3 linked regions of the Struthio camelus genome follow. The protein of the gene in region 3 interacts with the protein of the main gene of each other region in a biochemical or structural test. Links are inferred from orthologs where the notes say so. Each region holds a gene or a part of one and is shown on either strand. Other genes may lie near its edges.

Region 1 (7,186 bases), on a different chromosome or scaffold from region 3:
CATTTAACTAATTAACAGGTGGAATAAATGGTGACAAAAGGAAGGACAGCAGTGGATTCACTGATGAACGCTTTACAGAATAGCCATTCTAGAAACCGACCCTCTCCAAATGGAATGATTAAGCCTCCATATAATTCCAGGTACTCCCTATCTCCGTGAGTATTTTGTTAAAAGTAAACTTTTATGTTAAAGGGAAGCAATGGCATTAGTTAAAATGAATAATAAAAAAACACAGTTTACGTTATCTAGATTCTCCCCATTGATCTTAGCCTGAAAAGAGTTTAGGTTATAAACGTAAGAACCTTCTTTTAAGTTTCTGGGAAAAAATGAAATGCATTTAAAAGTGCTATTCAAAGCCATCTCTAACAAGACATAGTTCATCAGTGGTTTTAAAATATTTTCAATAATTTTAGCAGCCTCTTTAAACTGGTAAATCAAATAAATTATTATATAGAGAAATACTGCTGAAAAGACTAATACTTTTTGCATGTTGTTTGCGACTTTTTTTTTTTAAACATTTCCCCCATTGAAGAGAAGAAAAAATGGTTTGCATTGTGTTAGCTCCAGTTATAATTTCCAGCTGTGTCAAAACTTTAACAGCCTAAAAGCAGGAAATCCAAAGAGGAAATTCCATCGTCAGTTCCTGACGTTTTGTAACTCAAAAGTTCTTCCAAAGCTAGATCTTAAAGGAATTTTTGGTTGCATTTTCTGTAACCTTACCTGATATCTTCAAGTAGCTCACATTCTGCCTGATGCTTGGCCTGAAGTTTTGTCATCTGCTCAACCTGAATGTTTTTTAGCTCTTGTGTAACTTTCACCTACAAAAAAAAAAAAAAACACAGACCATATATATTTTCTGTAGGGGTTAGGTCAAATTTCAAAAAGAAAACAAAATTTATTTCTCTCATCAATTTTGAATTTGCATATTTCAGTGGAAAATTAGAACACAGAATTAATAATGCAACTTAACCCTATGATTTCAACAAATGCTGTAAGCCCAGCAGGCCTTCATTTCATACGTCACAAATCTCAAACTTATGCCCTAACATTAACAAAAATGTTTTGTTTTATTTTGTTTTTCCAAAGAGCTATGAAAATAATTGGGGGAGGGAACAAGCTTGAAAAAGGAAAACGGGTAACAGGGAGAAAACTGATGGTGTGTACACTTAGCACTTCAGCATAGCTTACACAATTGTGGAATGTGTCTTGATTAAGTCATCCTACAACTACTATAATTAAAGACAGTTTAAACAAAGCTATTTCTTAATCGTGCATCAGAGCCCTTCTACATAAGGTACCTCATAAGGCTGGCTTTAGCTTTTGAGTATTACGTAATTTTCCTTTGGCCCTCACAATCCCGAGGATTTCAATAATTTGAGAACCCACCCGCTAATTTGTAAAAGGGCAAAAGACCAGGATTTGACTTAGGCAAGGGAACCTGTATCCTCTCCCCTCCTTTTATTTTTTTTCTTTTTTTAAAAACAAGCAGTCTGGGCATTTAAGCCCTCTAGTGAGCACAAGGAGTCCAAGTATCAGCCTAAAAAAAAAAAAAAAAAAAAAAAAAAAAAGGATCACCAGCATATCAAAAGATGTTATGCGTTCATGAGGACCGAAATGCCTAACAGTTGCTGTAACGGGGGAAGAAAAAAGAAAAACGCAGAGAAGAGGTAGACACAAATCTCCCTCCTCTTACCAGCCAGGCAAAAAAAATCTTCCAGGTCACATTGGCTAGGAAAAGCCTTCTCAAATTTAAGGCTGAGTCAAAAAAAGAAAAAAAAAAAAGACACCACCACCACCAACAACCAGGACCCTTTAATCACAGCACTAAAGACATTTTTCACATTAGTGCCTACGAGATACTGAAAGTCACACGTCCAGGCCTGACTCTGATTAAGCAGGAAAAAAAAAAATCTATTTTTAACATTAACTTTCAACGTTTTTACTTTCATCTGCACATGAAAAAAAAAAAATCTATTTTAAATAAATAAACCCACGCAAGATAACCCATGCAATGGAAATGACCGCAAATGAAATAATGTGGGTAAAGAATGACACCCACGTAACATAAATAAGCTGCCAAACGCAAACTAAAATAGCAAGAAGAACCCTTTAACAAAAGCAGAGTCCACCCGCAAAACAAGGGGGTGAGAGGCAGCAATGAGACACGGAGGGCTCTTGGCTGCAGCTGGCTGCCCGGGGTTACTGGGGAGCTCAGGGAACGACAAGGGGGATTTCTGTTTACGCTCCCTTGCGCGGTCTTCCTCAAGTCTTCCTCTATAAATCTCAACACCACGCACGAAGCCTTAAACATCCACACTGAACCACGACGGTCTGAGCGCAAAGCATTTCGGCGCACGCCTCCAAGCAGCGGACAACACCCCGACGAACGTAACGCGCTAATGATCTCAAAACCAGCAAACTCCCCCCCCCGCCCCGCGATCCTTATTAGTGAGCAACCTCTAAACCTTTTCCGAGGCTCGCTTTACCACCTCGAGCTCCCCCGTTCTCCCCATATTCCAGCCCTTGCATACAGCTCTCAAAATAACTAATCAATACATCTCCGTACATCAGTGCTCACGCTCGAGACCCCACCATAGCTCAAGTCTTCCATGAACAACCTGCCTGCACAGACAAGCCGCACCGGCAACAACCTTTTTCCAAATCTACCTCACATCCTCCCGCACCAGCGGCCGTAAGGCGAAGCACCCCGTATTCCTGTGGGCCGCAAGGACACCAAAAAGCCTCCCCACCTCACGCAGCGTTTGCAACCAGCATGTGCAGATTGTTCCCGTCACACCTGTGTTACACAGCCGTGGCTGTCCCTCTTTGCTCACGCTCCTGATCCACCCAGGGACAACCTGCATCCTTACAGCAACTCCAGACGCGACCTTCCACTCCAGCACAACCAGCAGCAGTTGCTTTTAACCCACCCAGACACAACAAAGTCCTCTAAACGCAGCCAGTACCACCCCACAACCAACACAGGCTGTCCTAAAACCCTAAGTACAGCCTAGCCCTTTGCGATCATTGACCCCCCTTCTAACCCTACCACCCCACGGCTCTCCTTTAGTGCGGCCACTGCCACCCCCACCGTACTCCACCTAACCAGCCCCCTGCCCTCCATCTCCTCCACCTTCACCTTCCCCTCCAGCCCATGCCCTATTCCATCTCCAGGCTTCTCCATCCAGCCACTGCCTCCCCCACCTGCACAGCCCCTCTCCTGCCAACACCGTGCCCACCCACTTCGAAATCCCCCCCCCCCAAAGCCCCTTTTCCCATTGTCCCTAAGGCTGCCCCAGCCCCAATTAATCACTTGTTCCCTCTAACGCTTGCTCCTCATCTTCTCTCCTGCCTCCAGGCTCCACCACCCCGGTTTACCCAGCACATCCACACCTCTGCCTGCCCCATCCAGCCACTGCTGCCCCCCACAACCCCCCTCCTTACGCCCCATCCTGCCCCCAGACCTCGCTGCCCCTTGGCCAGGAGTTGCCCGAATCCTACCCTCTCCAAACACAGCCCCACATCCCAACCCTCCACCTCATCCAAACGCAGACCCATCTCCATGGAGCCACTGTCTCCCTCTTCTTCCCCCCCCCCCGCCCCGACTCCCAACACCCTGCCCAGGCTTCCCCAAATACAGCCCCCTCCAGCATCCCCCCTCCCCACACCCTGCCCAGGCTTCTCCCAAATACAGCCTCCCCCCCCCCCCCATTATCTCCCATGCCCTGCCCCAACCCCCCCCCATACCCCACCCCCAGGCTCCCCCTGGGTCCCCCCTCCCCATGCCCTGCCCCAGCCCCCCATTACCCCCCCATACCCTGCCCCAGCCCCCCCAATACCTCCCCTTCCCCACACCCTGCCCCAGCCCCCCCATAGCCCACCCCAGGCCCCCCCGGGTCCTCCCTCCCCATGCACTGCCCCAGCTCCCTATACCCCACCCCCAGGCCCCACTCAGGTCCCCCCTCCCCACACCCTACCCCAGCCCCCCATTACCCCCCCATACCCTGCCCCAGCCCCTCCACCACCCCCCCACCCTACCCCAGCCCATTACCTCCCCCTCCCCACACCCTGCCCCAGCCCCCCCACACTGCACCCCCAGGTCCCCCTGCCCCATACCGTGCCCCAGCCCCCATTACCCCCCCCACAGCCTAACCTAGCCCATTACCTCCCCCTCCCCACACCCTACCCCAGCCCCCCCCACCTCCCACACCCTGCCCCAGCCCTCTATTATCCCCCCAAACCCTGCCCCAGCTCCCCCCCACCTCCCCTTCCCCACACCCTGCCCCAGTCCCCCATTACCCCCCCACACCCTACCCCAGCCCCACCTCCCCCTCCCCATACCCTACCCCAGTCCCCCATTCCCCCCCACACACCCTGCCCCAGCCCCCCTATACCCCACCCCCAGGCCCCCCCACCTCCCCCTCCCCATACCCTACCCCAGCCCTCCATTACCCCCCCACACCCTGCCCCAGCCCCCCTATACCCCACCCCCAGGCCCCCCCACCTCCCCCTCCCCATACCCTACCCCAGTCCCCCATTACCCCCCCACACCCTACCCCAGCCCCACCTCCCCCTCCCCACACCCTACCCCAGCCCTCCATTACCCCCCACACCCTACCCCAGCCCCCCTATACCCCACCCCCAGGCCCCCCCACCTCCCCTTCCCCACACCCTACCCCAGTCCACTACCTCCCCCTCCCCATACCCTACCCCAGCCCTCCATTACCCCCCCACACCCTACCCCACCTCCCCCTCCCCATACCCTACCCCAGCCCTCCATTACCCCCCCACACCCTACCCCACCTCCCCCTCCCCATACCCTACCCCAGCCCTCCATTACCCCCCCACACCCTACCCCACCTCCCCCTCCCCATACCCTACCCCAGCCCTCCATTACCCCCCCACACCCTACCCCACCTCCCCCTCCCCATACCCTACCCCAGCCCCACCTCCCCCTCCCCATACCCTACCCCACCCCTAGGCCCCCCCCCCCCGCCCGGGGAGGCCTCACCTTCCTCGGCGGCGGCTGCATGGTGCTGCGCTGGGTCTCCACATCAATTCTGCCCCCGCGGCAGCAGGATGCGGCCCCGGCTGCAGCAGCAGCAGGAGGAGGAGGAGGAGGAAGAGGAGGCGGAGAGGAGCCCGTGTGCCTGCCGGCGCGGCGGCGGAGGCCGCTTCCTCACGGGCACCGCGTCCCCCGCCGGGCAGCCAGGAGGCGGGCGGCTCGGCTGGGCTGGCGGAGAAAGGGGAGGAGGAGTGGAGGGGGGGGGGGGGAACGAGAGGGGAGGGGAAAAAAAAGAGAGAAAAAAAGAAAAAAAAAAAGAGAGAGAAGCCGGGAGGCGAACAGCGGCTCGGCAGCGCCCCGCTGAGGAGGACCGCGGCCATGCTGTGATCCTCCGAGCTGCCTAGAAGGACGAACCATAGAGTTCCGGGCGAGGAGAGAACGGAGGAGCCGGCTGGCCACGCCCCCCCCGCCGCCCTCCCCGCCTGCTCCCGCGCCGCCCGCTAGGGGGCGCCATAAGGAGGGCGGCGGCGGCGGGCGGTGCTGGGCGCGCGCGGTGCGCTGGGAGGCGGCTGGTGCATCGCAGCGGTCGGGCAGGGGGGCGCTGGGCTGCGGGCGCGTTGCACGGGCAGGCCGCAGGCGTGTTGCACAGGGAAGCTGCCGCTGGGCTGCGAGGTCGCCTGGCCTTGCTCAGCCGAGCTTCATTAGAGCCGCTGGAAGGACGGCTTGGAAATAATCCTTTTTAGCAGAAATTCCCAGGGCGGTTCGCAGAGCGCCGGGCGAGGCTCCTAATTGCGTTTCCCCGAGCGCGGCGGCGTTGCTGCACCTTATTATCGTTGAGCTGCTTTACTCCCACTCACCGGAAATGACCTCTGGCCTCCTAACAGCTTTAACCGTCTTTAACACTTTTTTTTTTTTTTTTAACTAAACGTAACTTGCATTCTCCTTTTTCCTCCGGCTATTAGGTTATTTAGTGCGGCTAATTAGTACAACTCGCTCTCGCCGGGGAAACCGCCTCAAAACGATGAGTGAGACGCGGGGCATCGATATACGCTGGTAACGTACGGCGCTCAGCCCCAATTCGTTTTGACTGCTGAATCTGAATATCCCAATTTAAGCTTGTTTTTTTCTTCCTTAAATTGCATGCGGTTAGAAAGTTCCCGCAGTCCCGGCCGGACACTGCAACTACAATAATTAATCCTTTCGCGGTCCAGCTTGGTGTCCGCCGCTGTCGGGTGCATCCCGCTGAGAAACGCCGCTGCACCTGACGTTTTCCAGCCGTGCTGGGTGCAGGGACATCGCCGCAGGGTGGCAGCAGTTGCAATGGGCACAGCGTAGCCCAAGCGGAGGGGAAAAATAGAGAGTTTTTGGCACTTTTTTGATTGCAGCATCGTTTCAAAGGGAGAGGCAGCTGAAGGACCCATATAGTTTGGTCGATAGTCATTGGTCTGCCCGAGAGCCAGCCGCTTCCGAGCGGTCCGATGTTCCTCGGAGCGCTCCCGCGGCACCGCGCGTCTGGGTAGGTGGATGCGGAGAGCAGGGAGAGCCGCGTGGTCCCTGCCCTTAAGGAGTATTTCTGGGATGGAGGAAAAGCAGCCACCCCACGCCTGCATCCGTTCCTCGCCGCGCCCTGAGCAATGCCCGCTTTGCGCTTGGGAACAGGAACACGAGGACCACCGCGAAAAGTGCCAGCGCGCGTCCGCCCAAATAGGTTTGCCGGCACAGCGGGTTTGGCTAAAAACCTGGAAAACCGAACTGTGATCCTTCTCGACAGAAGGCAGGCCCTGGGGAGCGTTTTGGGGGCGGCGGGGCAGGGTTTCCGAGTCTGACGCAGAGTGCGATGAGTTATGCCAGGCCTCAGCCTGCAGCGGGAGGGGGCGGCCGCAGCCGCACCGCGTGGCTCGGCCCGCCGCAAGGCCAGTGGAGAGCGTGCGGGGAACGCCTGCCGCCCCCCGGGAAGGGCGCGTTTCACATTGGGCTCCAGCGTACGGGAAATAAAAGGCTTGACAGCTGCAGGAGATCAATAGAGAAAGAAGGAAAGAATGAAGCAAAGAGAAAAATGGAGAGGAAAAAAAGGAAAAGGAAAAAAGAGAGAAGGAGAGAGAGAGAAAAGGGGAGAGACAAAAAGGAAAAAGGGAGAGAGAAAAAGGAAAAGGAAAAAGGGAGTGAGGAAATGGAAAAAAG
Region 2 (7,981 bases), on a different chromosome or scaffold from region 3:
TGCGTGGCTGGAAAAGGTGGGTATTTGTTCTTGGCCATGTGAGGTCTTCTCATTTCTACACATATGCTATCTCTTTTACGGAAAAGGATTGGGTGGGAGCTGCTGAAATCAAATTTGCAGCAGCGTCAAAAGGACCTTGCAATGTGGTTGAAGACACCTGTTCCCCTGTTGTACAGAGCTCTGAAAAGGAGAAGTTTTGAGCAAGAGCCCTTCCCGTTGCCACAGACAAAGCTGACGAATGATAGATGATTCTGATTACTTACAGTTCATGGGGCTTTTCTAATGGTCCTAACTCACCAACAATGACAAATGCTCTCGTTAAGCCTATATAAACAATTGGTTTGAGGATGTAAAAGCAAAATTCTTTTTCTTTCACCTTCTGAAAGATGGAAAGCACTGCAAAAATATGTGTAAGGGGTGCACTATTATTAAAATTGGCTTTTTTGCATTGGCTAGCTCTCTGGCTAAGACAGAACACCAGTGAGGCCTAAAAGTAATATCTGTAGAAGGTGCAAGGAGTGAGACTGGAAGAACAGAATGACTTGGATTATCCAGACTAATTTGCTTTTTTTTTTTTTTCCCCCTGAAAGGAATTAATTCTGCACGGTATGCAACAGTTGGGAAATGCATCACTCGAGGCTTACGACGACAGCTTAGGCAGCTTGGATATCTCATAAGCCTTATGGAAGAGCTCTGAAACCTTTCACAAGTTGACTGTGTCACTTGGCAGAGTTACTGTTGTGGCTGCGAACCACATGTATTATCTAGCCTAATGCTTACTGACTAACTGGAACATAAGGGCAATTTTCATGTAGTTTTACAGCACTTATTTTCTAGGATTTTAAAGATGAAAATATGAGACAGCTTTTTTTTTTTGTTTTAATGACTTGAAGTACTGATGGTGACATGCACCCTCATCATGTGCAATTTATGGCCTAAGGTTTTATGGCACCATAAACGTCTAAGCTGCCTCGAATCCTCCAGACGACTACTTTCAAAGTAGTGAAACTGCTTAAAGGAGCAACATTGCCAAGTGTAGAAAATTCTGCAAAATAACTCGACACTTTGAATCCTAAAAGAGATCGGTGTCAATGAAGCGTGCTTTAATCTTTGCCTAATTAAGTCTGCTTGTTTGAGAACCACAAGTCCTTAATGCATGTGTTACTAATCCCATGCCTAATCCAAAAAATCTTTCCAAAAGGCCATAGTCCTCACTAGACAGGCTATCCATTTAAGTCAATACAGTCATCACTACTCGTTGCGGAGAGCTGGGAGCAGAAAGCTTAGCAGGCAAAAGCCCTCCTTTGAATAAAGTCCTTTCTGGCCCCAAAGATGGAGCACGGAGCAAAGATCAAACTTACAATTTCTCCTGGAGCATTATGAGCTTCTGAAAATTCAGTGAAACTATTTTGCAACCTCTGTCAGCATTTGCTAGCAGGTAGATGCGGCAACATCAGCAGGAAGCCTCTGAGCAATTCCCTGAGTAATTCTAGCTGTGCACCACTCATGAGTTATCATGGATACTGTGTGTCCATAGTCTTTAGCTATTACTTGTCTTTGATACACACTGGACTGCCGGAGTCCGTTTCCAGTGGTGTAAAGAGCCTCGGACACTACTGAGGACTTGATGTAAAGTCAGGATCTGGCCCGAAGCAAGGCTGAGCTTCTGCCACAATGTCCTGCCCAGAAGGAAGCCTGGTAGTGCCAACCAACGTTGACCTTCATGTCTGTGTGTGAGACGATATCTTTACATAGCATCCTAAATCCACTTATGCTTATTAAAATTCCAGCTCTGGTGTGCATAAACTGCACAACCAGCAGTTATCAGGGCTACACAGGGCTGGTAAGTCTCATGTGTAAGCCAGGAGAAGACGACATTGGGTGAGGCTAGAGCGTCCAGCTGAAGGCTCTTGCTCACATGCTGATTAGCAGAGTAATGTACCCTACTGGCCCAGTGCTTGGCCTCAGCTGCCCAAGCAACTGTGATAATAAGTCGAGGCTTCCCTCGGGCATGATGACTCCAGTCTGATACGTACTGCCGTACAGTGGAGCAAGGGAGGAATGTGTTGGAGGCAGATCTCTTTAGTGTCACGTCACTGCTGGAGACTCCATGAGGAGGGTTTTTCTTGTGCAGCTTCTGCCTCCTCTGATGAAATTATTGCTGCTGCTACTGCCTCTTGGGTGGGAATTGAAACTGTGAACAGTTTTCTTTCATAGAGCTTCTTGGTTTTCTTCTTTCCTAGTCCTACGCAAGGGTTATGCATTTCTATCTCTAGGAGGCAGGCTGCTGGTATGCAGACAGACAATTCAGTACAGCCTCATACATGAGGTCCAACCACAAGGCATCGTTCCTATAACCAAGCAAATGAATAAGCTCCTCTGTATCATTCATTAGTGCGAGTGGACTGAGGAAGTAGCTGTCCAGAGCATCCACCTTGCCCCAGAGCCCACAGTCACTGGAGAAATACCAGAAACCGGTGGAAATCTAACGGAAGAAGGAACACAACCTCCTTCCCAAGAGACCTGAAAAGGGTCCCTTAGCTGGACTGGCTTCTCACATTTCCTAAATATTGGCAATAGGAGACCTGTGGCTCACAATGAGAGGTTCTTCACCAAGGCAGACCAACCTGGCGACCCTGTCCCTGGTGTCCCCATATCTAGATATGCTTCACCTTCATGACCTACGCACCTATAGTCTCAGCAGAGAAGGCCTGCCACAAGCCCTTTTCCATGCCATAGATCACCAGGGAATTCTTCACCTGGATTTAAAAGTCATCTGATAAGTCCATGGTCTGCTGCCTACTGTAGTGGGGGAAAACAGCGCCCAGGGACGTGACTGCGGCCATCGCAGAATGCAAAAAATAGGAGGTCCTGAAAGACCAGGAGCTCTTCAACACCAAGAGGACACACCAGTTTGTGGAGGGCTGCTACAGAAACCAGGGTCCCGCTAATCATGTGTTCAACGTGATGTACGTGAAACAGGCCTCTGTGACTGGTATGTGGTGTGGCATGACTGATGTGGAGCAGGGGAGGACTCCAGGGCAGAGGACAAAGCTGTAGAGGACTGTGAAGAAGGGAACAATTTGGCTGGTGGACACGAAGCGTACGATTGCCTATCAGTGACTATAAGCCAATATAAATGAAATACCGAGCGGGGCAACGCAATTCGCTGAACCGTTTAGGTTTGAACAAAAATAGAAACTTCACAGTTTTGTCACGTTAAGTCCACATTGGAATAGTACAAGCAGAATTAATTCTCCTAGCTTTGGCATAATATCAGTGCTAAGTCTGAGTATTCTGGCATAGCAAAATACTCTGCTGAGAGCAATCCTGGTGTATTGGGTACGCTTGCTCTTCTTCCCATCCCAATGGTACATTTCAAAATAGAAGTACATCTTCTTTCTAAAGCCTTCAAGTCTTTGTCTAGCAGATGGTTACGTTTAACCCTTTGGCAGCCTCCTGTAGTTCAGCTTAAAGGGAGGATATCTACTTTTTCTGAACCAAGCTGCAGGTTCTACTTCAAAAGTTAGGCTTTTTTTTTTTTTAATATCTCTGAAAAATCCATTTCTGATTTATTACTAAAATACAGCCAAGTCAGTGAAATGCCTTGTACATATGCAGGATTTTTTATGGGTTTCAAAGCATTTCATCCAACTGCTGTACAGAAGTTGAGACCAACCTGCGCTGAAACGAATATGATAAACTGTAAAGGGCCGTTCCAGCACGGCTGCCTGGGGTGCCAGCACCGATAAAGGGAGATTTTCTGCCAAAACTGTCTAGTCTACAGGCAGACTTGCGCTCCAGAGCGGGCACTCCCAATTTCTAAACGAGGGTAAGTCATGACCCTCCCTCTCTCCTAGGACCAGTCGAATCGTTATAAACTTTGGGGCTGCCACCACCGCATGAGGGGAGAAGCCCTGTCCCCTGCCAACAGCCACTAACCGCAGGGGGAGAAGGCTGAAACGGAGGAAAACTGAGATTTTGCCCAACGGGGCCACGTTTCCAACTAACAGCTGAGCGTGTCTGAACGCCTCGCTCAAAGTCCCACTTAACCCAAAGCGGAGCGGGAGGGATCCTGACGGCTTTTTAAGGCCGTTTTGGGGGGATTTTTTTGTTTTTTGGTTTTTTTTTGCGGGGGTGGGGGGCTTGCTAGCGAACATCCGCCTCGCCAAAGCATCTGCTTTTCCCCAGTGGGGTGAGAATTTAAGAGCCCCTCGTAAACCGTTTACGCGGCGGCTGCGCGCCGCCACGCCGAAAGGCCACCACGCACGAATCCCCCGCCCCGGCCGCCTCTCCCCGTGTCCGAGAGCGGAGACCCCCCCCCCTTCCCCTTCCTTCCTGAGCCCTACGATACAAATCCCCACTTTTTGTGTTTTCTTCAGCTCGGTGACTGTTCAGGGCACCTCCCGTTTCTTCCAGGGAGAGGGGGAAACCCCTGTGGAAGGCAGAAGGGAAAGGGGGGCAGCCCAGCTCCCTGAGGGGCCCTGGCCCCGGCTCACCCCGCGTCCGACCCTCTCGTACGTGCTTCGAGCCCATTTCTGAGGTACTTTTTCGTGACTCGAGGCGATTTCTGAGGTACATTTTTGAGATTTGAGGCCGGGGGCCGGGGGGGGGGGGGAAGGCCACCCTTCGGTGGCGTTGAGGGGACGAGGGCGCCGGCTCCGTGTTCGCTGAGGAGAAAAGGCTGAGGGGAAGGGTGGGGGGCAGGAGGAGACGGGGGGGCGAGGCCGGGGAGAGCCGGGCCGCCGCCGGGCACGACGGCTCCGTGCCTCAGTTTCCCTTCCCCCCCGCCGGGGTCCTCCTCAGGCGCCGCTGCAGCGCGGGGCACCAGGGGGCGCTGCGCTCTGCCGGGGCCGCCCAGCAGCCGCCCCTCCCGCCTCACAGCCGCGCCCCCCTCGCTTGTCCCGCCCCCCGCGTCTCCTAGCAACTCGCCCCTCCCGCGGCGCTGATTGGCCGCCGCCGCCGCCGCCGCCATTTTCAAACCCCCCGGTCGCTGCTTTCGCTGCTGTTGCCGCCGCCGCCATTATCCGCCGAGCGGTGCGGCCGGTGCCCGCTCCCTTCCCCGCTCTCGGCGCGACGTGTCGTGTCCTCATGGAGGCCGAGCCCGCGGGCCAGAAGCCCCCTCGGCGGAGACGGGGCAGGGTCAGTGCTGGGGCCCGCGCCAGCCGCTCGCCGCCGCCGGCGGACAGCACCCCCGGCGGGGCCGCCTCGGCCGCCTCCTGCAGCCGGTAGGAGCCGCGATCCCTCCCCGCCGCCGCGTCAGGGGCTGGAGCCCCGCCGATGGCCGCGGTGCTCCCTGTGTCCCTCGTGTATCTCAGAAGAGGGGACCCTGCTCCCTCCTGCCGTTTAAAGGAGGGGGAGCTCCTTGCCGGCCTGCCTTATAGAAGGGACTGTGCCTTCCCCCTATCTTATAAGAGGGGACCCCCCCCCTCCAGGCTGTAGGGGACCACTTACCCATTTCTCTTATAAGAGAGACCCACCCTTGCAGGCCATAGGGGACCCTTCATCCTCCTGCCTTTTAAAGGGGTGCTTCCCTCTGCTGACTATAGGGGACCTATTCCCCTCCTATTTTATAAGGAAGGGCCCCCTGCCTCCCTATTGTATAAGGGGACACCCTCTAGCCTGCAGGGGACTTCTTCCCCCCTCCTGTCTTATAAGGGGGTACTCTCTAGGCTGTAAGTCACCCCTTGCCATCCTATAAGGGGAACTTGTTTGTGGTTTAAGGGGATCCCTGTCAGCCCCATAAAGGGTGTGTGGAATCCCTTGCCTGTTCCTGTCCTGTAAGTGTATGTATAGAGGAGAGGGGTGATCTGCAGGCTGTAGGGGATCACCCTCTATGCCCCATCCCATAATGGGGAAGGTGGCCATTCCTCTCTCCATCCCTGGGTGCAAAACTACCCTGAGGCTTTCATGCAAAGACTTCCCTCCTCCCACCTTGCTCATGGGGGTATCCCCTGGGCTGCCTGCAGCCCCCACCTGTTTGGCAGAAAGAGGAGAGGGCCCTTGCTGCTTCCTAGGGTGGGCATCAGTGTGATTGGGGCCTAGGGTGTCCTCTCCCCTCTCCAATCGCTCTTATTGTGCTGCCACATGTCTGAGGGGATTGGGCTCCCCTTGTCACCCGTATCAGGTGCTGATCCCTAGGGGCCTCAGCTGGTGGGTCGGAGTGGGGAGCAGATGTCAGTAAAACTGGGAGCCTGAGGCTGCCTGGCAGGAAGGGCCAGAATGGGCAGGTTTCCCCCCTGGGTTGCCCATTGCCAGCTACCCCTGCTTGGTCCTCAGGATCTCTTTGGGCTGGAATGCCTGATCAGCTTATTCCCTTGAGGTGGGAAGACCTGTTTTGGCTCCAGGGTCTGCCCTGGCTTTTGCTCTGTTTAATTGCCTTGGTGTGCCATGTGTTATAGTTATTCTGATGTGTTTGTTGGACTTTGAGACCTTTCCCAAGACCACCCTGTGAAGGACACTGTCACTTCTTGAGTTAACCAGAAGCTCAGTTTGTGTTGACCCCAATAACAATACCTGGTTGTGTTTATAAGCAGATCCTGCCCTATCTGCAGTTGACCCCTGGATGACCCATCTCCTGCTGACTAACATCTAGACCAACCCAGGTTGATCAGAGGTGGCTTGTGTTTTCTGTTGCCCTTGGGGTTAGGAAATGACTTCTGCAATCATGCTGGTGGTGTGGAAAGTGCATTGCATTGTGAGGGAAGCACACTCCCAGCTCTGGAGATGGTGGACTTGGATATGTGGATGCCCTAAGCTGTTAAATTAGGATAGTGGTTGTCAGCTGGCTTAGGACAAGAGAAGAGAGCATATCTATAAAACTTCTGACTTATCACCGTTCCCCCTTACACAGAAATATACATTCCTCTGTTCTGTTTCCTCTGTGCGACTACAGTCTGCCTTCAGGTCCTCTAAGTGAAGCGATCTGTAGCGTACCAAAAAATTCTAAACCCTCAAGTTCTGGCAAAGGTGGCTCTGGCTGTGTCTCGCTGAACCCCGGTCTGTACCTCCAAATGCTGTGTGCAAGCTGCAGTTCGCCCCGAGATGCAATTGGGGTCCTTTCTTTACTGCCATAGTTCTTTGTACTGACTGGGGGATTGCAACCCTTTACAGCCCTGCCTGGAAGCTGCTTTTCACTACCTGGGTTATGTTGGCCAGAGATGCTCCTGCCTCTTCTCCAGCCTCATCTGTGCCCTGGAAATGGGTGGGAGAAAGGGGACTTGGGCAGTCCCTTGTTTTGAGACCTGGTGAAATTCCCCAGAGGCTGGAATGGGTGTTCTTTATTTGGCGGCCTAAATCAAAGCAAGTTAAACGTAAATGAGCTTGGCTTTCATAATGGCTGGCTTTAGTAAGCATGGTGCGTTCTGGATGGCAGAACGTTTTAATGAGCTTTAAAAACAAATGTTTTCATTGAAGCGTACTGCAGTATCATCTTGTAGTTCCATAATTAATGCAGTTGAAAAGCATAGTATAATTAAAGGCTTCAGTGGCTTGGTGAGGTGATGAAACATGTTGGCTGTTTGTAGGATAGTCGTGCATTCCTTTGTGAGGCTTGTCTGTGTGGAGAGGCCGGGCAAAATTACGATAAAACTGAAAGAAGTTGACACGGATAAGACATGTATGTATTAAACCTTCATCCGGAGACTTTCTCACAGGCAAATTGATGCCAGCTCAGCACCTAGATGTGATCTTGTGATGTAGGTAGAACAGTTCAAGAAGTCACTGACTCAAGATTTGTTTGTAGAATAGTAGAAAAGTTTAATTAGTGAGGGACTTCTGGAGATCTGTAGTCCAACCCTTGCTCAAAGCAACTTCAAAGTTAGGTCGGTTTGCTCACGGCCTTGTCGAGGCGAGCTTCAGATACCTCCAAGGATGCAGATTTTTCCATCTCTCTGGGTCCCTGTTCCAGAGTTTGACCACACTTATTTTGAAAAACTTCTTACTTATCTAATAAGAATTTTCCATGTTACAACTTGTGCCC
Region 3 (7,739 bases):
TATTGAAATAAATTGTAGAGGAAGGTGACACAGTGAATCCAAGTAAGGGGCGAGTTGCCTTTTTCTTCAGAGGATCCTGTGGTCACAGATTTACTCTGTCTATCTCCAGGAGAATGTGCCATGAAATAACGCTGTAGCCACTTCAGGGGCAGGAGGCTGGAGATCATCCTACGCGAGGAGCTGCGTTTCAGGACAGTGCTAGCTGACCCAGCTCTGTGTAAGACCTCAGGCAGTACCTGTCCATGCTGGCTTGTCTTTAGCTCTAACCAGAACTGCTCGTGTCCTGATGCCTGGGAGGTTGTCGGCAAATACCAGGGGTCAACCTATAGCTAGGCTTTGCCAAGGCAGGAGTTGGGTCATCTTCTATCGAAATGTTTTCTAGAGATAGATCCAAAGCAGAGCCAGGCAGATTCTCTCTTGTTATCAGAGGATCAGCTTGGTACAAAAATCTCTGACCACACCGAAAATCCTCCTCTGATAAAAGACAGGTGAGACTACTATGAACAATGATTCCTACTTGGGAAATAGAGCAGTATAGGATTTTCGTATTGATAGATACTAGTAGTGTGAGTGTATCAACAGGAAACCTCACTGGTACAATTGCTAGACCTTGTTTAAAGTCTCTTTTTACCCCAGGATCCACAGGGTCAGGCTCTCAAAGCTTCAAGGCCTATGATGTCACAGCATTGAGGGTTTGGATTTTAGCTGGAAATTAAACATTAATTTTGCTGTATTAAACCATCTGTACTTACAGTTTGTAGCCTTAGTCACTCCAGTTTCTCTTTAAACTCTCTGGTGGATGAACCCATAAAGTTCTCAGTAACTAGACATGGTTTTCCATCCCAAAACAAGTAAAACTGGTTTTGGTATGAAATCAGAGAGAATGATTTGATGCTTGGGGGAGTTTTGACCCATTTTAAAATCCAGGGCACAGTGTGGAATTTGAGACGCTTATAAGACCTTGGTCAATTGAAGGTCAATATTCTCTCTGAAAAAAACCACTCTAGTTGTTGTATATTTATAGTGGGACCCCAAGCATGAAGGACACTTTCTGGAGGAAGAAGAAAGCAACATCCTGCTCCCTGACAGATTAGAGGCAACGGACAGCTGAGTCACCAAACTTCAGCAACTCTACAGATGAAGGAGCAAGGGAATCGGGCTCTGCATAAAGCTCTGAGCCAGCCTAAATCAGCTTTTCTGGCATTGTGGTGGGCTACGAGCTGATGAACAGCATGCTGTCCTCTGAGCTGGTCCTGCAGGCGGTACAGGTGAGGTAGGATGCCTGAAGCAAGCCCTCCTCAGAAAGGAGACATGTTTGAGGTTCTCCTTGCCCTGTGTTAATGTTCAGCTGTTCCCCTGGCACACTATGAAGCTTGGTTAACTAATGTTCCTAAAGTACTTAGAGACCCTTGCAAAAAGGAGGGTATTATTATTGGAATGGCAGTAATTAGAGATGAAGAAGGTCTGTTAGATCATTAAATCTATTCCCCTGCAAAGGCATGACTATAGTCCCCTGAGAGAAAGGACATGCTTCAGAGCTGAAATGCAAAGGCAGGGTTTTGTACAGCCTAATGACCTGATTATCTAACTGGCTGGTGTAAGGGACTCTTCGGGGCAGAACCAACACTGCTGCGGGTCACTGGCTCAGCACTATTAACAGCTGACCAAGGGTTTCCTTTAATAGAAGCAGTTTGAGCAGGTATGTCCTGAAATCATCTTGCTGCAGCAATAACGTTCTGGGCAACTGCAGGGTCAAGAATGAGGACAACGAAAAAGTCGTCTTGGTTATGTTTGAGCTGTTACAAGCAATACCACCTTCTAGGATCTAGGGCTATCCTGACTTTCCTAATAGCTTGACCGACTGGTCTTTACTGGATGCAACTAGTAGGTAAAGTGGGAGGAAGTCAGCTGAACAGAGAATGAACAGAGCAAAATTGAAGGGAAAATCTTAAAATTAAGAGAAAGTTCTAGCTGAGGCTTGTGAGTTTTCTTAATTACCAGTAAGAGCAATTTTGGGAGCAGAGTGGCGAAGACATGAGAGTACAGCATTAGGATGAAGACGAGAACAGATCACAGTTGCATTACAGAGTCGTAGCGTTTGTAGGCAAACAGAAATGTCCCTCAGAAATCTGTCATGTCATAAACCTTATTGGCAAACTGTTTTTCTAAATAGTGTTTTTCAAATAACTTTTCCATGAGTAGTTCTGTAAGATCTATTCGGGGCAGCCACAACTCATGTGATGCTCACATGGCTCCCAGATGAATCTTCGCTTAGAAGGGCTGTCACATAACACATCACACAAAATGAAAGTGATGAAAATACGTCACACCCAGTTCTCAGCTGTGAACAAGAGCCTCCCTGCGCTGTGATCCTAAGACGTGTGACACGACTTCCATCAGCTGGCATGCAGATGAAATGGAAATCGTTCCCTTCTAACCACGCTGCTCACGGCTAGTGGGTCTCCTGAGCATTAACTCCCTGGGGGATTTAACCTGATCACTGATCCACTGTTTGCTAGCCAAGGCAGCATAAAAAGCATGTCATGATCCTAAAAGTGACAAGTTGGGTAGTTGGTAACAGCGGCAGTGAAAGCAGACGTAGGGCAGTTACGCCAGGCAATTGCAGCTCGGACGAAGAGCATCGGCACGGCTTTGTTGAGCAGGAAATGTAAGTAATTGAATTCCAAATAGAAATATTAAAAAGGAAGTATAAATGGAAATGTTAAAAAGATGGAAGGAAACAAAGGCTACACGTAGTAGGTTATTTGCGTTTCAGGAGTCCATTTCTGCATTTGCCCTTAGCAGCCAGGAAGGCAGGCTCTGCGATACTTCCTGGAAGGGGCTACTCGCTGCAGCTTTCTGAAGGGCTGAAGATCCCATATACTTCCCCTACGGACCTGGAAAGAGGTGCACGAGGACCCAGTACATTCACAAGCCTGGGAACTGGGGATATACCCGACTTTTTCATTAGTGTGCTGCATGACATTGGACAAAGTGTTCCAGTTTTCTGGTTTAAAGGTGGCTATACTGTTCAGGCCAGACACTGCTCTTCATGCCCTAGGCACCCTAGTGGCATCCCCTAGGATGATGGGGATTTTACAAAATAGCCATACGCTGGGTCTTGGCTGGAGGAAAGGAGTGATGGGGAGGACACTGGGTATGATGAAAGGGCTGGCATCATTACTTCATGTAGGGCAGAAGTACGGGCAAGGAAGCTATTGGAGTCACCTATCAGAGTCATCCCTCTTCTGTAGTCTGTGAAACAGGTCTGGCTAGCCGGCAAAGTAGTTGGCTAGCACCAGGACACGTTGTGCTGAGCTCCATCCCCAGCTATTGGATGCCGACTCCCCTGAGCCTTCTGCATCGCGGATCATTTTAGTAAATGTGTAGCTGGAGAGATGTGATATGAGATAGCAATACAGTTAGCAGCAAAAATCCGCCAGACTGTGCCAGCGGAGAGTGTGTTACAGCTATGCAGGAGCTGAAGATGAAGCTTTTTGTTTCCCTGTGTCACTTCTCAGTCCTGATCAGCAGTAAAATAGGGCACGCATACATCTGACAACTGAATTTCTTGCTAGAAGGGGTTCAGTCATGCATAAGACTGCTCAGAATGAGGCCTGGCTTTCAGGTTTTGGAAGCAGGGAGCATGACCTGGAAGAGCCAGCTGGTGCAAGCACACTTACTTATTTTCTGTTTGAGTTTTGCATTAAAGTTCTAGGCAACTTTGAAGAGTTGTGGCCAAGGGCAAATAAATTGATGCATGTCTTCTCCACCGCAAGGACCTCAGTATAGGTCTGTCCCAGTTCGACATAATTATACTGGGGAAATAAGTAAGGATATTATTAAAACGCATGCACCTCAGAAATTGAAAAGTGGAGAACTAAAGATCTGTGTTGGCTTTAATTCAGCCTTGCACAAGCGCTTTGATACCACTTTTAATTATAGACTTGTGTAAGGTTTTCCTCAGGACTTCTGCCTCATTTTGTCCCATCCTCTAACGACCCCCTACTGCAAGTGCAGGTGAGCAGTGATTTTTAGAGGTTTGCAACTTGGCCAGCTCTGGAAACGCTCCCAGGAGAGTGAAGGAGCCCTCTCCTCCCCCTTGCCAATCTTCCCCGAAACATGAGCTGCTCCGTGAGATTACAGAGGCTGAACTTCTCAATGGGCTTTCAGGAACTCTCAGTGAAGCAGGGGGCGTGCGAGGGGGGAAGCATACTCGCAACTGAGCCCGTCCTTAGCAAGGAATTGTTCCTGCTGACATTTTAAAAACAGAATCAATCCAAGGTGCGCGCTTGGCGCCGCTCCTTTTTGGGGAGGAGGAAAAAAAAAGAAAAGAAAAAAGTTGTCTGCGAGTGCAAGCAGGGCCTTTAAAACCGGGAAGAGTGAGACAACCTGAACTACGGCCCTCGCGGCCGGGGCCGGGGCCGGGGCCGGGGCCGGGGCCGGGGCGGGCCGGGGAGGAGTGTGCGGAAGGCGCCTGCGCCGGCGGCCCCGAGCGCGGTGCAGCGGGGTAAAGCGAAATGTAACAAAACAACCGGAGTCTTTGTATCGCCTTAAAGGCGCCGCGCAGCGCCCGCGCAGAGGAGGCGGGCAAGGGTGGTGGCGAGGGGGGGACAACAGCAAACAAAACAAAAGCGAGGGGTAGGAGGAGCCAGCGGAGGGCGGATTTATTGAGTTAGTTTTTTTTTCTTTTTTTTTAACACGAGGGGAAAAAAAAAAAAAAGGAAAAGGGACTAGGGGGCAGGCGAAGGCAGGCGCGCGCCCTCCGCGGGCGCGGAGCCATGCGGGCCGCGCGCGGCCGGAGCGGGGCGCGGCGCGGGCGGTGATGGCTTGAGCGGCGGCGGGGCACGGCGCGGCACGGCGCGGTCTATGAGCCAGCGGCTGGGCGCCCCGCTGCGCACCTGCTTACCGTGCGCCGGGGCCGGCGGAGGGCCGCGCTCAGCATGTCGCGAGTCGTCCAGAAGAAGAACCACTGGGCCAGCCGGGTGCGGCAGTGCTCGCTGAGCCGCGGGCCCGGCGGGCAGCTGGGCTTCGCCCTGCTCGGCGGCGCGGAGCACGGCGAGTTCCCCTACGCGGGCGCGGTGGCGGCGGGGGGCGGCGAGGCGGCGCTGAGCGAGGGCGAGCTGCTGCTGGAGGTGCAGGGGGTCCGCGTCTCGGGGCTGCCGCGCTACGACGTGCTGGAAGTGATCCGCAGCTGCAAGGACCCCATCGCCGTCAAAGCCGTCAGACAAGGTGCGAGGGGGGCACCGGGGGGCACCGGGCGGCGGGGGGGGGGGGAAGGGGGGGCTGCCGCGGCTCGGCTCGGCTCGACTCGGCCCGCGCTCCGCCGCGGCCAACTTTGTTCTTGGCCAGGAAGTTTTGGGTACCGAGGCGAGGGGCGAGCATTAGGGCGACCGCGAAAGGGGAGCGCCCCTGGGTGCTGCTTGTGTCGGTGGTGTGCAAGCGTCTGGGTACGTGCACACTGCGGTAGTGTGCGAGGGGGTGTGTGTGTGTGTATATATGCACGCACATATATAGTGTGTGTGTGTGTATATAAATATATATATATATACACACATGTACTTGCATACAGTCACGTTATCGTACCGAATCAGCCTGCAGTTTCCTGGCCTGCAGCGAGCAATGCCGTGAGACTTTCTCCAAAGCGCGCGGGAGCCTCCAGCCCGCGGTCCTGCGATGCCGAGCGGAAGCGGCCGAGGCCGGGGGCTCGCTCCGTGGGGCGAGCGAGGCACGTCCGTGCCCGGCCCGGACCCGCAGGGCTGTGCGGGAGGATGCTGCTCCCCCGGCAGCGGCTGCATGCGACGTGTGTTGGCTCACGTGGAGCGCGGTTGCGGGCTGGCGGCCGCATCGCCGCGGGGGGACGGGCAGAGCGGCCACCAGTGCCCGTGGGATGCTTCTCTGAAGTCGGGCTGAAAGTTGGCTTGGGCTGGCTCTTCCGTAGGTGAGGACACATCTGGGCTCTCACCCCGCAGAGCGGCGGCGGGAGGAGGTGGATTGCTTTCGGATTTAGCTGTAGAAAAGGATAGGAAGAGCCTTCCCATGTGAGTTTTTTTTTTTTTTTTTTTAAGTCCCACTTCATGCCTGTGTACAGGCAGCAGTTGTTTAACAGGTTAGCATAAGAGGCCTGGCTGATAGGTTTGTAGTTTCCAGGGCAGGACTTGCATTTAGTGCCAGGAAACTGTTACTGTTGCGACAGCTGCTGAGGTTATTTGGCTGGGCAGGATAAACAGGAATGTGCTGCAACACCTGTAGGTGCGGGTGGCGGAGCAGCGCACCCCAGGGTCATCGATAACTGCAGGAAGGAAGCGAAGTTTTCCTAGGAGCGTTTGGGAGGTTCTTTAGGAGAGAGTTTATTATTATCCAGACACATACACATCCCAAACTACAGGGCATGTTTTCAACCTGGTCAGTTGCTGGAGATGCAGCAGCTAAAAGATCTTTTAACTTTGTTGATAGGCCCTTGTTGTTATGGTAGGTTGGCAGGAGGGTCCTCTGAAGCCTTGTCCGCCAGCCTGATTTACGAGCTGCTCTGGATGCACTTGTTTCACGGCCGTTGCTCAAACTCCCACCGTTGGAGTAAATCACCGCGATGGTGTGTCCTGCTCGGCATGGCACTTGTGCCCTGTAATCCTGCTCTGCCCTCTGCTTTCTTCTTCCAGGGATGATAGCAGCTCAGAATTGCCCCAAATCTTATATATCAAAATTACTGTTAGTGTTAAGTGTTGAAACCCTAAGTTGGCAGAAATATTCCAACAAGCAGTGCTGGACGCCAATGAAAACTGTTTTCTTTAAGCAAATGCCTATTTTCCCTGCTGCATTTTCTCTGCTACACTGGAAACCGGGGAGTGAAACTGATTTGCTGATTTTCATTGCCCGGGAGGGGAGCGAGAGAGTAAAATAAAGAGAAGTATGAGGAAATTATGCAGATTTTTACATGCTGATTGTTTTAGCAGAAGGGTTAGCGTGCAGCTTCTGTTGATGCAATGGGATCAGTGTTGTGGGCAAAGGAAAGTGGGTAAGAGACGAGCAATTTGTGATTAAACTTTTTTTTTTGTTGAAAACTTTACTTAGTCCAAATGGAAACTCGTCATGGGACTATACCAGAAATGACAGAATTTAGAGGTGAATATGTCTCGGCTCTAGGATGCAGTGTCTGGTCAAAATGAGTCAGAGAGCTGTTTTTTTCTCATAGTAGCTGGGTTCACCTGGGACTTGGGAGAAAAAGGTTCAAAGCCCTGCCTGGAGCCAGGGCAGGAACTTGAACCTTGGACCTTCCTCCTCCCGGAGTGAGAACCAAGCCCCTGGCTATTATGAGATCATATTTTCCTTTTTTTTTTTTTTTTAAATGCTTTATTAGAGTGGAATATATAATAGGATTTTTTTTTTAATCACTGAATATTTTTGTGGTTTAGAAAGCCATTCCTTGTGCCTCTCCTAATGATAGCGTAGCATCTGCATGGTGTTCTGCACGGAGTGGGGAACTCCCTCGTGGATCAGGATCATATGTGTAGGAAAGGAGAGAGTTTTAATTAAAATACATTATGTTGATTAAAAATCTCATTATAGGCATGGCAACTGTCATGCAACAGGAGATGTGTGGCACTAGAGCAGACAGTGAAGGAGTGTGAAGATCAGATTGTAAACGCGATTTTAACTGTATGAGTCTCTTCCTCTTCCCAGTTCTTAGTCCATAATGAACTGATGCTGAAGTGCTATGGAAATCTTAGCCTGGAAATGTA

Evidence for each region.
Region 1: the proteins of MAGI1 (region 3) and FCHSD2 form a complex in vitro, tested with the Homo sapiens proteins (2 studies listed by BioGRID and IntAct, with this or other methods). The link is inferred for Struthio camelus from reciprocal best matches to the Homo sapiens genes MAGI1 and FCHSD2.
Region 2: the proteins of MAGI1 (region 3) and NET1 form a complex in vitro, tested with the Homo sapiens proteins (3 studies listed by BioGRID and IntAct, with this or other methods). The link is inferred for Struthio camelus from reciprocal best matches to the Homo sapiens genes MAGI1 and NET1.

What each region holds. Positions count from the first base shown.
Region 1 is NC_090942.1:222,626,130-222,633,315, forward strand, and holds the start of FCHSD2 (F-BAR and double SH3 domains protein 2), read right to left. Parts: upstream 3,004-7,186; 5' UTR 2,865-3,003; coding exon 2,751-2,864; intron 819-2,750; coding exon 721-818; intron 1-720. UniProt on the Homo sapiens protein: Adapter protein that plays a role in endocytosis via clathrin-coated pits. Contributes to the internalization of cell surface receptors, such as integrin ITGB1 and transferrin receptor.
Region 2 is NC_090942.1:2,273,219-2,281,199, reverse strand, and holds the start of NET1 (neuroepithelial cell-transforming gene 1 protein), read left to right. Parts: upstream 1-4,964; 5' UTR 4,965-5,091; coding exon 5,092-5,228; intron 5,229-7,981. UniProt on the Homo sapiens protein: Acts as a guanine nucleotide exchange factor (GEF) for RhoA GTPase. May be involved in activation of the SAPK/JNK pathway Stimulates genotoxic stress-induced RHOB activity in breast cancer cells leading to their cell death.
Region 3 is NC_090955.1:13,480,288-13,488,026, reverse strand, and holds the start of MAGI1 (membrane-associated guanylate kinase, WW and PDZ domain-containing protein 1), read left to right. Parts: upstream 1-4,649; 5' UTR 4,650-4,943; coding exon 4,944-5,232; intron 5,233-7,739. UniProt on the Homo sapiens protein: Plays a role in coupling actin fibers to cell junctions in endothelial cells, via its interaction with AMOTL2 and CDH5. May regulate acid-induced ASIC3 currents by modulating its expression at the cell surface.